Rattus norvegicus: one gene and its partners. The protein of the gene in region 4 purifies or fractionates together with the protein of the main gene of each other region. This does not show direct contact. Links are inferred from orthologs where the notes say so. Each region holds a gene or a part of one and is shown on either strand. Other genes may lie near its edges. The genes, in order: Cdk19, Cdk8, Polr2j and Med1.

The links.
Region 1: the proteins of Med1 (region 4) and Cdk19 purify together in Homo sapiens (affinity purification with mass spectrometry; 7 studies listed by BioGRID and IntAct, counting the BioPlex papers as one, with this or other methods). This does not show direct contact. The link is inferred for Rattus norvegicus from reciprocal best matches to the Homo sapiens genes MED1 and CDK19.
Region 2: the proteins of Med1 (region 4) and Cdk8 purify together in Homo sapiens (affinity purification with mass spectrometry; 14 studies listed by BioGRID and IntAct, counting the BioPlex papers as one, with this or other methods). This does not show direct contact. The link is inferred for Rattus norvegicus from reciprocal best matches to the Homo sapiens genes MED1 and CDK8.
Region 3: the proteins of Med1 (region 4) and Polr2j purify together in Homo sapiens (affinity purification with mass spectrometry; 3 studies listed by BioGRID and IntAct, with this or other methods). This does not show direct contact. The link is inferred for Rattus norvegicus from reciprocal best matches to the Homo sapiens genes MED1 and POLR2J.

The regions. Positions count from the first base shown.
Region 1 is NC_086038.1:45,323,521-45,327,855, reverse strand, and holds the start of Cdk19 (cyclin-dependent kinase 19), read right to left. Parts: upstream 2,946-4,335; 5' UTR 2,687-2,945; coding exon 2,559-2,686; intron 1-2,558.
Region 2 is NC_086030.1:13,886,912-13,890,602, reverse strand, and holds part of Cdk8 (cyclin-dependent kinase 8), read left to right. Parts: intron 1-3,183; coding exon 3,184-3,294; intron 3,295-3,691.
Region 3 is NC_086030.1:26,182,342-26,186,664, forward strand, and holds the start of Polr2j (DNA-directed RNA polymerase II subunit RPB11-a), read right to left. Parts: upstream 2,861-4,323; 5' UTR 2,809-2,860; coding exon 2,756-2,808; intron 223-2,755; coding exon 133-222; intron 1-132. UniProt on the Homo sapiens protein: Core component of RNA polymerase II (Pol II), a DNA-dependent RNA polymerase which synthesizes mRNA precursors and many functional non-coding RNAs using the four ribonucleoside triphosphates as substrates.
Region 4 is NC_086028.1:83,654,453-83,658,143, forward strand, and holds part of Med1 (mediator of RNA polymerase II transcription subunit 1), read right to left. Parts: intron 3,438-3,691; coding exon 3,326-3,437; intron 2,609-3,325; coding exon 2,484-2,608; intron 2,012-2,483; coding exon 1,893-2,011; intron 1-1,892. UniProt on the Homo sapiens protein: Component of the Mediator complex, a coactivator involved in the regulated transcription of nearly all RNA polymerase II-dependent genes.

The DNA of each region.
Region 1 (4,335 bases), on a different chromosome or scaffold from region 4:
AGGTTTTGTTCCTCAGAGTTATTTCTTCCAATGTTACTCTAAAGTTCTAACAAATTTTGTTTGTTAGTGCACATTTGTGTGTGTATAAATGCATATATGTATGTATATGTAATAGTGTTATACACGCTAGAGTTATTTCTCTCTAGCAGGCCTCATCTCTCTTGCTCCCTAAAATAGCATCAAGCACTACTCATTTTCCCGGAGCTTACCAAAATGTAAAAAGAGGGGACTGTAATTTAGAATGACCAGACAATAGAATCCTTTACCATCCAAATCTGTGTCACCTTTGAGAACTACCACTAAAACCTTTTGTTCTGTCAAATGGCTGATTAGTGATGAACATAAAACTAATCCCACTGCCAAATCACCAGAGACGCAAGTGTTAGTGTAAAGCCAGGAATCGTAACCAGACACTGATCCACAAAAATAAAGCCTATCATGGCTTGTTTTACGTGAGAACATGTGGTACAACGGTCTGACAAGATATTTTCATATTCTAGGCGGTTTTTGTTGGTTGGTTTTTGCTTTGGTTTGGTTTCGTTGAGACAGGGTTTCTCTGTGTAGCCTGTCTGGCCTGGAACTCAGACAACTGCCAGTGCTTGCCTAGCTCTAAATGTTTTGTTTGTTTTTTAATTCTACTTTGAAAATATAAAAACTGACCTTATGTATTCTACTTTACCGATTTCACTCAAAGAATAAGTGTATTTGAATCAATATCCTTATTATAGAGACATACTGAAAAATAAGTAGAAATAAGAAGTGTTTCTGTTGTAAACCCAGCCATTCTATGCAATTCAGAATCAGAACTGTTAATTTCTCTCAAAGTTTCAGGGCAAATAAAAACATAAGTGTAAAAACAAAGTTAGCACAGTCTCTGGGAGATAGGGAAAATCCAGACCAACAGTGTAACAACACTGTCCAATCAGAGCAGCGGATCTGCCTTCCCCGAACATCCTGTGTAGATTCCCACTGGAACACCAACTTAACCAGTAGAGTGGATATTCCAAAACCAAAGTGTAAGTCAAGTATAGTGCCTTACAGCGCCCGGTGTGCACTTGGGGACACGTGGTAATTAAAAGAAACAGCTCAGACAACTGAGTGGCCTGGCCTGTACAGTTCTACTGCAACAGCAATTAATCATCATCCTTGAAACCCACACACTACCTGTAGTTTTCCAGGTACATGTATGAAACACTTCATATGATTGTGTTCTGGTTTTCCTCTTATAAAATTAGCAAACGCACTGCTTGCTTTGATGCTGGAGCTCCTCACCAACTTTATCAAAGCACAGCCAAGAAGCACTTTCAATGAGGTGTGCTGATGCTCTGCTTTTCAAATGCTCCAGCAGTCACAGTCTCCCTTTTGTATAGTCTGACAGTTGCTTGAATCTTTTTCTAAGAGAAAGGAATTCCTTCCGGAATTGGGACAAGGTGACAAAACCCACCACTGCCAGGTCACAAGTTTGGTTCCACCTGTCCTGTTCTTACAAACTGGTCTGCCCTCTGGCCCGAGGGGTACATTCTCGATGCTTTATCCAACTTGTCCTTTACTGCTATAACAATCCAGAAAGACTTCCCAAGAGATTCCTATAGATCCCCTCAACTAGGAAAACGGTGGTCCAGGCCCAAGCCTGTCACTTCCGTTTTCTGTTCTTGGTGGTCTAGGTTCTCGATAAACCAAAGCTCACAGCCATTTGACAGAGGATGAGAACTGGAGAATATTAATACTCAAGATTTCTTCCTGAAGAAAAGAGAAATGGGCCGAGTGTGGTGGCATACGCCTTTTAATCACAGTACTTGAGAGGCAGAGGCAGGCGGATCTCTGAGTTGCAGGCTAACCAGGGTGCACAGAGAGAGACCCTATCTTATAAGGGCTGGGGAGGGGTTTACCTAAAATAATCACGAGGCAGGAAAGGTAACCAACCAGAGAGCACTTGAAGTTTGTAATATAGAGCTAATCTCTCTCCAGGGTCCACCTTCAGAGTGCTGAATTCAAAATATTAAAGTGTGGGAATCGGGAGCAGGATCGGGAAGTCCCCAGGTAAACACCAGGGATGTAGGCTGGGTTGGCAACGTCGAGGAAGTCAGACCAGAGGGGCCAGTCAGGACCCCAAGCGCAGGGCCACCAGACGGGAGGCGCCCCCGCGAGCTTTCAAACCGCCGCCCCGGGAAGGCGCTGCGCCGATTGGAAGTTCCACCACGACCGTCACCAGCACAGGGCCAAACCGGTAACTCTTCAGCCAAGCCCTCGAGAGTCCCCCCGGGACCAGACCCCTAAACTCCACCTCCAAGCGCGGTCTCCACCGGGTCCCGCCGCCCGCTGTTAAGCTCGCAACAGTGACTCCAGGCGGGACCGACGCCCCCGACGGGGCTACGCTGTGCGACTTGGAGGGGCGCGACCGGCCAGCGGGGGGCGGCAGCACCAGTGCCTCCGAGTTGGCCCCAGGACGTCGCTCTGCGACCCACGCCGCCTCTTCCCGTGGGCTCCGACCCACCCAGCCCTCCGGGTCTCAGCAGTGGAGGAGACCGGACGAGCCCACTCCCCGCCCGCGCTCTTACCCATCTTTCCGCCTCGCCTTGTAGACGTGCCCGTAGGTGCCGCGTCCCACTTTGCACCCTTCGTACTCAAACAGATCCTCCACCCGCTCCCGCTCCGCCGCCAGCTTCGCCTTGAAATCATAATCCATTGTCTGCTTCCCCCATAGAGAAACCGGGACGCGGGGGCCGCCGCCACTCAGTCCCTCCTCCGCCGCCGCCGCTCCACTTCTCGAACAGCCGTCGCTCGGGCGCGCGCGCGCCGCCCGCCGCTCCGCGGTCTGCCTTCAGCAAGGGACTCCTCGGCGGCCGCGGCAGCCACCTCCTCCGCCTCCTCCTCCTCCGCGGCGGCGGCGGCGGCTCCCGCAGGCACCCACAGTCCCGCCTCCTCCCTTCATTTCCTTGTTTTGGAACCTGGTGGGCCGCGCCGCGGCTTTCTCGAACTCATTAACGAACCAAACGGCCCGCCCCGACGTCGCGAGCGCTCCTGGGAAGTGTAGTTCAAGAGGCCTGGTGAGTTGTGCTACCCCCTCGAGCGCGAAGAATACAATTCCCAGAGTTCATTGAGTCTTTTCGGCCTCGCCTCCACAAGGCGTGTACGCCTGCGCACTGCCGCCGCCCCACCCCCTCAGGTAGCGCGCGACTCCCTGTTCCTGTAAACTGTAGCGCAAAGTTGCAGCGGGCTTTTTGCGAGCCTGTGGGAGCTGGCGGGAAGGAAGCGTTTGTTGAGCCGGGAAGAAGCAACCTGGCTCTGACAATCCTTGGGCTAGAAGAGCGGCAAGCAGCTCATGAGAGCCTTGCTCAGGAGCTCATTCCGTCGCACCCGGAGCTTAGGACTGAGGTTTAGACAGTTGTACTACACATTGTTTGTTTTCTTGGGCAATTGATCCTCTTGTTGCCCCGCCCCTTGCCTCGTCTTATTGGCAGAGACTGAAGAGTGGCGTCCTCTTTGGTGCCTGGGTATCCTCCGGCTTTGGCTTTTGTCCCGCTCTTGATTGGTAATTGGATGTGCTCGGTTCTTCCTGATAGGTTAATCTTGTTTCTTTACGATGCAAAAACCCTATTTCAAAACCTGAACATTCAGCGGTTTCTCAGCTCTTGCTAGGAGAACCGTGTAACTTCTAGGGCCCACAGCCAATCATCTTTTTCTTGGCGCTGTAGTCGGGTTTTATCCTAGCATATGCGGGTGCGGTAGCCGAGCTTTAACCATCTGTCTGAGAACAATTAAAGCGCCTGGAAGATTGCAAAAATGCAGCGTTTTAGAAACAATCATTTTTGCTGGCTTGTAAAGCGTTTTTTACAGTCTGTGCGTAATGGCAAGGCTCACCTAGGGGCTTTAGGTATTTATCTTACTCATGATGTTCATTCGTTATGGTGTCTGAAGCTCGGAACCCGTCACCTCAAAGTAGGACTGTAAAAGCCTGGAAAGTGCCTTGCTAAAAATGTGTCCCTCTGCACACTGATTGCTTTTAAACGAAAAGAATTGATATCCATCTGACACGCACGTTTCAGCTCCCCTCCACTACCTAAAATAAAAGGCAGCATTTTTGTAACAAGGTTAAATTTATAAGGGAAATTTGATAAGGTATCTGTGTCAGAAAGGCAGCTTAGCTATTCGTAGACAACCTTGCCCGGGAGGCCATCTAAAAGAATCGACTTATTATTCCCTCTTCATTTCCTTCCCTCTCTCTTCATTTATCTCTGCTACCTACTAAAATTTCCAATTCTTGTTCCTTTCTGTATGTCTTGAGCTTTAATCATCTAGCTTTTCGACTTCATCGTGTAGGACTCCCATGCATAC
Region 2 (3,691 bases), on a different chromosome or scaffold from region 4:
TTTGTTTCCTCCACTCCTCTTACCTCTTTTCTTCTATTTTGGGCTTGTGCTTCTCCATTTTGCTAAGTGGTTTATTGGCTTGTAAACTCTTCTTTCCTACTATAAATATTTAAAATTATAATTCCCTCCAACCTGTGTTTTACTTTCATGCCACACGTTTTGTGATGTTTTATTGTTTTATTATAGTACAGAATATTTTCAGTTTTCTTTTTTTCTTTCTTTGTATCCATTAGTTACTTAGAAATCAGTTGCTTACTTTATAAATGTACAAGGAGGCTTTTCTGGATACGTTATCATTGCTGGTTGTTATTGATTTTCATTGTGTTGAGAAAAGATTGCTTTTGAGGTACGTACCGAGATGCTGATGAAATGGTATATATACTATCTGGTGGAGAGAGGAATGAACTTGAATGTACATACAGTGACTGTAAGTGACAGGCTTAACTCAGGGAGACCGTGTAATAAAAGGCAAGGGAGGAAACCAAGTCCATCTTTGTTTGCCCTGACACCTCCTCTTACTAACATGCTCACACTCATTCAGTTTTTTCATATCTATTACAAATAAAAATCTTAGGATTCCCGTTGTTCGTTGTGATCTGTTGCCACCCCTATGCAGGCTAGACTGTGACACACAGCAGCATGGCTTAGATTTTGTGCAGCCATTCTTCAGGAAGGAGGAGAGAACCTTCCAGGGGAGGTGTCCTCACAACACTTCCATTTTGCTGTTTGTCACATTCCTCACCAAAGTTTCCTGTGGACTGGAATCCCTTTAGTTCAGGGTTCTGGCCAACTGTGCAGAAATCAGCTGGCCCCCAGTATCCCAGAGAGTGTCTGATAGATGGTGCAGGCCCATGGTTAGTCTGCTTTCCCAACACACTTCTCCAACCTCAGCATCTGTTTCCATCTTTTTCTAAGAGTTTGGGAAGATCGAAGTTAAAGAAAGAGTCTACAGTGTAATTGTCTTTTGGAAATAGATTTGTCATAATTCAGGTTCGGTTTATCTATCACCGTACTCGAGGTCTACATTCAGAACCTGTTTTTGCATTAGGAGTTGTTAATGTTGGAATGGTGTCAGAGGTGGAGACGGTAGTTGGTAACATACTTGCCTCCCGGTCACTGAGACCTGTCGAGCTCTCGGGATTCAAGTAGAAATGACTGCCAGTGCTGTGGCGGGGCAGGCTTGTCATCCCAGTGCTCAGGGAGTAAGACAGGAGGCTCCCTGTGTCCTCCCGCTGTCCAGCCTTGCACTGGTGAGCTTCTAGCCCATGAGAGACCTTGTCTCAGAAGGAGGTGAGGTGGGTAGCAGACCTGAGGATGACCCCAGAGGTTGTCTTCTGGCCTGCACACACACATGCACTCCACATGTACTCCACAAACTTAGAACTCTTTAAGAAACACTGCTGTTTTGAAAATATAACTAGTTTTCCTACCTACTTTTTCCTCATTTCTGAGTGGCATATATTGTCGTGGTGTGCTTTTAAATATTTTTTGTACAAGTTTAAGTTAAGTATGCCCATTGTGGTAAATCAGGTTCACAGTGAATAATAAATTTGAAGTAGATATATATTCAAAACATTTAAAAATTTTCCCCCACTGGTAAAATTGGAAAAGCAAGTGGTTTCTGTGAATAAAGTTGGTATGGCTATACCTTTTGTTTTGTGAAGATTAACCAGTTCTTTAAAAAATGAAAAAAAAATTCTATTAAAGGCCAGTTTAGTTCCCGGGACCCACCTGTCTCCACTGACCGCTCCTCAGTACACATGTGCGCTGTCGTGTCGGTCTTCCTTTTTTTTTTTTTCCCCCGGAGCTGGGGACCGAACCCAGGGCCTTACGCTTGCTAGGCAAGCGCTCTACCACTGAGCTAAATCCCCAACCCCGTGTCGGTGCATTTTGATGGCTTTATCAGAGTACAGTACAGTGAGGAGTGTCTCCATATAATGGGATGAATGCTCTTACCTATAAAAAAGGAAAAATCAAAACCAAAACCCCTGCTACATGCTACAACATGGGTGGACCTTGAAGATAGCACTGAGTGAATGAACTAGATGTGAAAGGATGAGTGATGCTGGGTGGATAAACAGCTTTCAAGGTCCTGTTTGACCCCTAGAACCTACAGAAAAGCTAGGCATGGCTGTACCTGCTGGCGCTTACAATCCCAGTTCAGAGGAGGAGGTAGGAGCACAGATTCCTGGGGCAACAGCCAGCCCGGCCTCAGTGGTAAATTTCAGGCCACTGAGAGCTCCTGTCTCAGGGAGGGAGGGAGGGAGGGAGAGGTGGGCTGGGGAGACGGCTCAGTGGTAAAGCCCTCGCCGCTCTTCTAGAGGACCTGAGTTTGATCACCAGAACCCACATCCGGTGATTTATTTCTCTAGCTCCACAAGTAGCAGATACACATGCACACATAAAATCAACCAGTCACATGGGCACCGCAGGAGTGAGCCAGAGCTCTCCTTCCTCCCACTGGGGGTTACAGGTCCGTGCCTGCGCACATGAGGAAGATGAGGTGTTATGAGAACCCACCATGGCTAGGTGTCTACCACAGGAACTCTTAGGGACAGGTAGTAGAGTTTACCTAGACCTGGATCAGTGGTAGCATTTTCTACTTGGAATGTTTAAAAATGTGTAAATAGTAGTGATGGTTCTACAACACTTATATTTAATGCCACCCATTTGTAGATTTTAAAGTGGCTAAAACTGTAATCTTGGTTAAAAAGTTAAAACCAAGTCAAGCAGCAAATGACAGATTTACTGTTACCCTCTTTTCAGTGTCTTCTTCTGTCATGAAGCACCTGTGTAGCAGTCATACTGAGTGGGTGCTGATTGAATGCTTAGTATCAGTGAGCATTGACTTGCATTGCTTTTACGTTGCAGCTGGTCTGGGTGGGTGGGTGGCTGGGTAGTGTCTGGGATGGAGCCCGGCTTTGTTGCCCAAGCTAACTGTGGATTCCTGATATCAAGTAATCTTTCTGCTTGAGCATTCATAATCTGAGACCTTTGTTCACTTCCTAGCAGCCAGGTAGAAATGGCTGCCACGGCGGTAGCAGACATATTATATCCTTGTGTACATGTATGCACTACCACACCTAATTTGTGTGTGTGTGTGTGTGTGTGTGTGTGTGTGTGTGTGTGTGTGTGTAGTATTATTTTGTGTTAAATTTTGAATGGATCTCCTTTGTTTTGTAGTTACTTCGAGAGCTTAAGCACCCAAACGTCATCTCTCTTCAGAAGGTGTTTCTGTCTCATGCTGATCGGAAAGTATGGCTTCTCTTTGACTATGCTGAACATGACCTCTGGGTAAGGTGGACTGCTGGTAGACAGGCCATTGTTTTCAGTTAGGCTTGAGAGTGACTAAACAGCTTCCACTGCACTAGAAATCACTTTACAGAGTAACAGTCGATGTATTCCCAGCCTGGAGGCTTTTGCTTTGTTCAGTGGGTTGAGCTCCCTTACCACAATGCTAGACAGCAGAAGTGTCTCAGAGTTTTGATGTTTCAGATAAGAGGGCACTTACTTGCACCTATTTAATAAGACCTCTTGGAGACTGACATCATGTCTAAACTTGAAGCTCACTTGTGTTTTAATTTCATATTTACCTTATACATATAGCCTGAAGGAAATTTCATGCATCGTTTATAATAATCTTGTATGTGAAACAAAGTTTCACTCTGTGGAATCATGTTAGCTTTCAAAA
Region 3 (4,323 bases), on a different chromosome or scaffold from region 4:
ACCTGTGAGGCCAGGTTGATTTACTGGAGCACAGAGGAGAGTGGAAGACATTTGCAGGACATGTGCTCAGCCTACAGAGCCCTGGTGGTACTGGCAGAGTGTGGTACTCACCCAGTGTGGGGGGAGACTTACGATTTAATGATGTTCCCCAGAGTGTGGTCTTCTTTGTTGATGGTGAACAAGCAAGCGTTGGGCACCTTGGTGTCCTTGTTAATGGTGATTCTGGAAAGAGACAGAGGCAACAGCTCAAGCCCACATCCAGCCTTGGGATACTGGCCCTGAGCATCACAATGTCCCCATTTGTGCTCAGACATTCTTGAACCTGCAGTTGGGCTGTTCCCACTACCTCAGAAATTAAGGTACCTGGCCCTTCCCAACGTATGCGCTGACGAACAGTTCCCTTAAACTAGCTCTTGACTAAGTTCTTACTAAGAAGACAAGAACCAGCTGGCAGTGGTGGTGCCCACCTTTGATCCCAGCGTCTAGGAGGCAGAGGCAGGTGGGTCTCTGAGTCAGAGGCCAGCCTGGTCTACAGAGTGAGTTCCAGGACAGCCAGGGCTACACAGAGAACCCTGACTTGGGGGCAGGGGGTGTCAGGAGACACTTAACCCCTAACAATCAAGGCAGGCCCACATCCATCATTCTGCAAGTCCAAGCTCCACTAGACCCAGTGCTACTGGGAATTGAACCTTGGGTTTTGAGCATGATAGGCAGAGCCCTCAACCACTGAGCTATAGGTCTAGCTCTTGGAAGCCGTTTTCAGTCTGCTCACCCATTAAGGACCCTGCAAGAGCTCTGGCATGGTTCAATAGCCGACCATTTTCCTCCCATGTATAAGCCTCTGGGTCTCTCAGCTCTACCATTCCCAACATTCAAACAAAGTTGGCCTGCCTGGTAGATAAGACCAGTAATCCAGCAACCTGGGAGGCTAAGGCAGGAGGATAAAGAAAAACCTCAGCCGTCGTCCTGGCTTTTCTCTTTGCTTAGGCTAGGGTCTCATTTGCCATGGGGATAAACCATGCTAGCTGACCCTCCTGTAACCACTTCCCATGTCCTTGGAGGAACACTGGAAGCAGAACTCAGCAGTTTTTTTTTTTTGTTTGTTTTTTGTTTGGTTCTTTTTTTCGGAGCTGGGGACCGAACCCAGGGCCTTGCGCTTCCTAGGTAAGCGCTCTACCACTGAGCTAAATCCCCAACCCCGAACTCAGCAGTTTTTATACGACTTCTGGGGATCTACACACAAGTCCTCAGTAAATGTTTTACCCACTGAGCCATCTCCCGAACCGATCAAAAACTGTAAAATGGGGTTGGGGGTAGGGGGTGGAGCTGGAATATAGCTTAGCATAGAGCACCAACCTAGCATGGGGCAGACCCTATGTTCAATCCCCAAATGACAAAAGCAAACAAGAAAACACATCTGCCCTGTGCTGGCCTCCTATCTATACACCAGGGAGCAGTTACTTAAGCAGGTTTTGTTTTTGTTGGTTTTTTTTTTTTTGAGACGGCATTTCTCTGTGTGGCTCTGACTGTCCTGTAACTTTGATCTGTAGACCAGGCTGGCCTCGATCCTCTTGCCTCTGTCTCCCAAGTACTGGGATTAAAAGTGGGTTAAAATTCACCACTCAGGGGTTGGGGATTTAGCTCAGCGGTAGAGCACTTGCCTAGCAAGCGCAAGGTCCTGGGTTCGGTCCCCAGCTCCGAAAAAAAGAAAAAAAAAATTCACCACTCAGCTAAGGATTACTGCTTTTTTCTAAAGCAGAATTTTTCAAACTCAGTACACAAATATTTCTTTCCTTTGTCCACGCTCCTATAAGAGGACAGCCTGTGATCGTCAGCTCTCTCCTTGTACCATAGTGGTCCCAGGGTCATCAGGTCATCAGGTTTGCCTGTGGGCGCTGTACCCTAGCCATCCTGCCAGCCCGGGTCACAGGCATTTTGGACCCAATCCTCCTTTTCTGAGAGGCTGTCTACTACATCTAGGGTCGCTAACAGCATCTGTTGCCTCTACCCGCCGGCTGCCAATAGCAACCCACTCAGGACAACCAGAACCGCTTCCAGACATGGCCAAATGCTCATGCCGATGGGATAACAACAGGGCTCTCAGCTCTCAAGAAGGCTGAAGTAGCTATCAAATGTAAAACAAAAACCCCTGCATAGAAATCTCTTAGGGGGCAGGAGAGATGGCTCAGTGGTTAAGAGCACTGACTGCTCTTCCATGGGTCCTGAGTTCAATTCCCAGCAACCACAGGGTGGCTCACAATCATCTGTAATGGGATCTGTGCCCTCTTCTGGTGTGTCTGAAGAGAGCAACAGTGTACTCAGATAAAATAATTTAAAAAAAAAAAGTCTTTAGGGAATACAAAGTGTCAGTTACAGGTCTGCAGTGTACACTGTACACTGTTCAGACAAACTCGGAAAATCTCCTTGGGGAGTTTCATTATTTATTGATTGGCTGATACAGACATGAGGAGTGTAAGGAACTGTGTCTTTGTCCTTTCACAGCTGCCATCATGAGCCAAGTGTCTGGAGCAAGTCAATGTCCCAAAGCCTCAGTTTCCCACTGCAAAAAATGCATGCATTCGCAAATGCTTCGCACCACTGCCTGAAGTTGGGCAGACACGCACTGAGCAGAACAGAATGCTCAAAGCAAAGCCCGCCTCGGTTTCCCCAGGCAGGAGCAACTCGGCGCTTTGCTGAAGCTGACGGCCGGCAGGCTCCTATACAACCGTCCCCGCCTCAGCCGGTCTCCACTTACTTCTTCTCGCCCTCGAAGAGCAAGAACGACTCGAAGGCCGGAGGGGCGTTCATCCTAGCAAGGCGCTCTCACTCCCAGACACCAACCCGCAGCCGCCTTCCGCCCACAGAACCCCGGAGCGCGACCACTTCCGGGTTACTCAGCCTCAGCCTCAGCCATTCAGAGTAAGCACCTGGCCCTGCGCCCCCTGGCGGGCCGGATGACCTTACGCAGGCGCGGGCAAGGCCCAGGAGACTGCGAGCTGTGGGCATGCGTCAGTCTAGAAGCCCTGTCTGAGTGTCTTGGCGCATACTCCAGCGCCGGGACTTATACCACTTGTTACTGTCTCCGTTTCACCGACTGAATGGGAATAGGAGTCCCAGTGGCTGCCGCTGCAGGACCCCCGGGTGGGCCGACACTAGCGTCCTTATGAAGCCTTCTAGATGAGGACCAGGGGAACAGGAAGGTGTGTAAAGGTTGGGGAGGAGTTTGAGGATGCCAGTGCATCCTCTCTTGAGCACACAGATAAACTAAAAACACGATGAAAGCTTTGCACCTCGCCATTTTTCAGCAGTCTCTGTGGCAGTCTTTTTTATTTTTCCTGTTTTTAAAGATTTTTATTTGCATGTCTGTGTGGGCACGTATATGTAGGTCTAGCCTTTGGAGACCATAAGAGAGTGGGGTCCACTGGAGCATGAGTTACAGGTGGTTGTGAGCCCCACCACCACCAAGTGGGTGCTGGGAATCGAACTCCAGTCCCCTGCAGAAACAGTAAGGCTCTTAACTGCCGAGCCATTTCTCCAGCCTTCGTGATGGTTCATCTTGAAATTTAGAATTACCGCGGAAACAAACCTCTAGGAGGGGCCAGCAAGACAGTCCAGTGAGCAAGGGAGAGTGTGACCAAGCCTGATTACCTAAATTCAGTCCTCAGGACCCACGAGGTGGAAGTTGGGAACAGACTCCTCCAACCTCCCTTCAAGGCATGCACTTGAACACGTATGCACTCACAATGCATAATAATAATCGTAGTCATAATAATAACAACGAAAAAATAAAAAATAATAACAACGAACTTTTGGTTATGTCTTTGAGATTTTAGACAGGTTTGGCTGAGGAAGGCATCATTAATGTGTGTGGCATCACCCGAGAGGCTAAGGTGTCAGACTACAGCTTCCTGGCTGCAGACACAATCAGCTGCTATGAATCCTGTTGCTATGACATCTGCATTGTGATGAGCTGTACCTTTCCGTAAGATGCTTCTGTCCGTTTGTTGTCGCTGTCTTGGTTTTGTTGGTTTTTCGAGACAAGTGTTTCTGTGCAGCACTGGCTGTCCTGAAACTTTCTCTGTAGACCAGGCTGGCCTCGAACTCAGAAAACTGCCTGCCTCTGTCTCCAAGAGTGCTGCCATTTAAAGGCATGGGCCACCAGCACTTTTGTCCAGTTTTTAGACACAAAAACAAAAACAGTAACTAATACAGACTCAGGCTCCCAAGCGTTGGAGTCACGGGCATGAGCCACCCTATCCCTTGGTATCTAAGTACTAAAGCATCACTGTGTAGCTTGGATGATGTCATAGGAATCAAGTGAAG
Region 4 (3,691 bases):
GCTTCAATGCTGTATAAGCTAAGCATTCATATCAAATTCAAGTCCATAGGAAGTCGGGGCCTTTCATAATTTATATACATAGCATTTGTCCTCCCCCTGTAGTTAAGGGTTCTTGCTGTAGCACTCAATGGGCTAGGGATGAAGAGATGGCTCAGCAGTTAAGGGCCCATGCTGCTCTTTCAGACAACTTAGATTTGGCTCCCAGCACCCATCCATCCACAGGACAGTTCAGTCTGTAATTCCAATTTCAGGAGAATCTGACAACCTCTTCTGGCTTTCATGTGGGCACAAATGCAAGGAAAACACTCATATACATAAAGATAGTAAATTAAAAGGAACCATTTTTCCCTTTTAAGACAGGATCTTGGGGCTGGAGAGATGGCTCAGTGGTTAAGAACACTGACTGTTCTTCCAGAGGGACTGAGTTCAATTCCCAGCAACCACATAGTAACTAATAACCATCTCTGATCTGATTTGATGCCCTCTACTAGTGTGTCTGAAGACAGGGACAGTGTACTCATATACATAAAATAAATAAATCTTTAAAAAAGGGGTGGGGGGTTCCTCACTGTTCACACTTGGCCTAAGAAACAATTCTTCCTCCCACTCTGAGAAGGCTTTCTGAGGTGGTTTAAATGTGCATGCCTCAGGGAGTAGCACAATCAGGAGGTGTGGCCTTGTTGGAAGAGTGTCACTGTGAGGGTGGGCTTTGAGACCCTCCTCCTAGCTTCCAGGAAACAGCCTGCTTCTAGTTCTTTGGAGGAAGATGTAGAACTCTCAGGTCTAGATGCTGCCGTGGTTCCCACCTTGATGATAATGGACCACACCTCTGAACCTGTAATCCAGCCCCAATTAAATGTCCTTTATAAGAGTCGCCTTGGTCATGGTGTCTTCACAGCAATAAAATCCTAACTAAGAGCTTTTCTCTATAGCCCTGGCTGGCCTTGAACTCACAGATATCCACCTGCCTCTGCCTCATAAGTGCAGGGATAAAGGTGTGGCACCATGCCCTCAAAAGAATAAAAAGAAAAATCTTTTTTTTTTTTTTAAGATTTATTTATTATATACAAGTACACTGTAGCTGTCTTAGTTCACACCAGAAAAGGACATCAGATCCCATTACAGATGGTTGTGAGCCACCATGTGGTTGCTGGGAATTGAACTCAGGACCTCTGGAAGAGGAGTCAGTGCTCTTAACCACTGAGCCATCTCTCCAGCCCCCAAAAATAAAAAATCTTAATATCTTTCAACCTTCTAAAAGTTCAAGACAGCATTAAAAGATTTTTAATTCTGATACAACATTTTTTCTATTGCTTTTTTGAGAAAAGGTTTTGCTACCCCTAAGTCGAGGAATCCTTAAGCCTCCACTCCCCATATACTATGTTCCACCAGTCCTGGCTTCCTCTGTAAACACTTCTCATCATGCCTATAGTCACAGCAACCTAGAGGACGTTTAAGATCACCCTCTGCTAGGTTCAATGCCAGCCTGGGTTACATGAGAACCTGTCTAGAACAAAGAGGGTAAGAAAGAATGCTCCTTGGTTAACAGCCACTTGCTGCTCTTCCAAAGGACCTAGGTTCAGTTCCCAGCATCCACATGGCCACTCACAGACGTCCGTAATGCTAACTTAGGTATCTTCTTACTTCTTTGACACCAGGCATGCAGGTTATACATATACTTAATCAAATATAAGCAAAACACTGATGCACATAAATTGATATAGACAGAAATGTAGGTGGTTGTTTCTGAACTCAAAGCTCATTCTCTTTTGCTTTAGTATGTTTAAGATGACTTTTTTTTGCCCAACTAAAAATTAAGCCATCTAAAAGAAAGCCATCAACCTGACTAATGCTGTAAAGAACATTGTTGCAAACCCACAGGGCCTACTTACAGCGTAAAATCGCATGTTGTGATTCAAAGGTAAAGGGTCAGGATCCTTTGACAGCTCAAACTGAGTGATGAGTTCATAGAGGGGCAGGTAAGTAGGCGGAGTCTCAAACAACGGGATTCCTGAAAATATAAGGACTATTTATAATGGTCACATTATTTTTTAAAAAAGATTTATTTATTTCATGTATACGAGTACACTGTTGCTGTCTTCAGTCACATCAGAAGGGGACATTGGATCTGGATCTCATTACAGATGGTTGGGAGCCACCACGTGGTTGCTGGGAATTGAACCCAGGACCTCTGGAAGAGAAGTCAGTGCTCTTAGCCGCTGAGCCATCTCTCCAGACAGCTCCACTGTTCTCTCTTGCACTTTCCATGCCTTCACCCACATCCAAAAGTTCTCAGAGAGCACTAGTACTACCTACTAGTAATGTCCTAACACCTGTACTCAGTAGCACGTCCTTGAGGCCTGAGGACTGTAAGCTGTTTAAGATAGTCTAATGTTTTCCACTCTCACTTTAACAAGTTTTATCTTAACAGGTAAACCTTCCTTTATTACAGGCTGGCAAACATTTTAAAAAACAGAGCTTACCCGTGCAATTTTGCAGTTTCTGAACAAATGCTTTAGATACTGGGATTGGCTGGGGAAATTTCAAGAAGAAACACGCAGGAAGATCAACACTGTTGGCACTAGTGACTGCAGAGAAAGAAGGGGTCCTTCAAAGAAAGAAGAGGGGAAAATTTTCTATTTTGAAAACTATGAACACATTTATTCAGACATGTATATATTACACAAACCCACAAGGTCTATCAAAAGCTTACTTTTCTACTATCCTCGATGCAATTTCAAAATATATTACCTTGTTAATTGTGAAGTACTTAATTAAGTATGTACAGTGGGGCTCACGGTCCAGCTCTGTGTGCAGGTATTTGTAGTCCTGGGTTCAAAAACCAGCACAAAACTCCAACTCATTTATTCAGAGCAAAGACTATGGTCTACAGGGGATACTGGCATAGCTTGGTGTTTAATGGTGCTATCTGGTATTCTAAAAGACCTGTATTCAATCCCCAGCACCCACGAGGCAGCTCATACCATCATTAGCCCCAGAGGATCTAATGGCCTCTTCCAGCCTCTGATGGCACCAGGTACAAAGATGGTGCAAAGAACAATATACAGGCAACACGCGCGCGGACACACACACACACACACACACACACACACACACAGAATAAAAAAATTAAACGATTTAAAAACAAATGTGTACAAGTGTGTGTGTCAAGTAGACACACTCCAGTAAAGAACAGGAGTAAAGTCCGTGCACGGACGCAAAGGGCAACATCTAAACATTCCAGGAAGACAAGACAAATAAAACATGGCTCACACTGCGCTTGAAGCTGAAAAACAGACTTCGCTACTTTAAAACTGTATCTTACCATTTGTTGTCAGCTGGGTGTGACCCCATAATTAATGGGGCAATTGGGAGTTTGTACATAGCAGAGGTTCCTTCAATTGTCACTGAGGCATTCATTCCCAAAGACCGAGGAACTGGGAATAGAAAAAGAAAAAAAGATTTTCTACCTCATAAGTAGGAAAAAGATCTCAGCACTAAAAAGAGAGGAATGCTGGTCCTGTGTGTCCACCCAGCATTCTGCAGAATGAGAAAGAAAAATGGATTTGAGTTAGAGGCCCACCTCAGCTACAAGTTTAGACTCAGTCTCAAAAACAGAACAAAGCACAGGAAAAAACAAAAGCCAGGCATCATGTAAGCGGCGGCTACAGAGTACGTCTGAGGCTGGCCT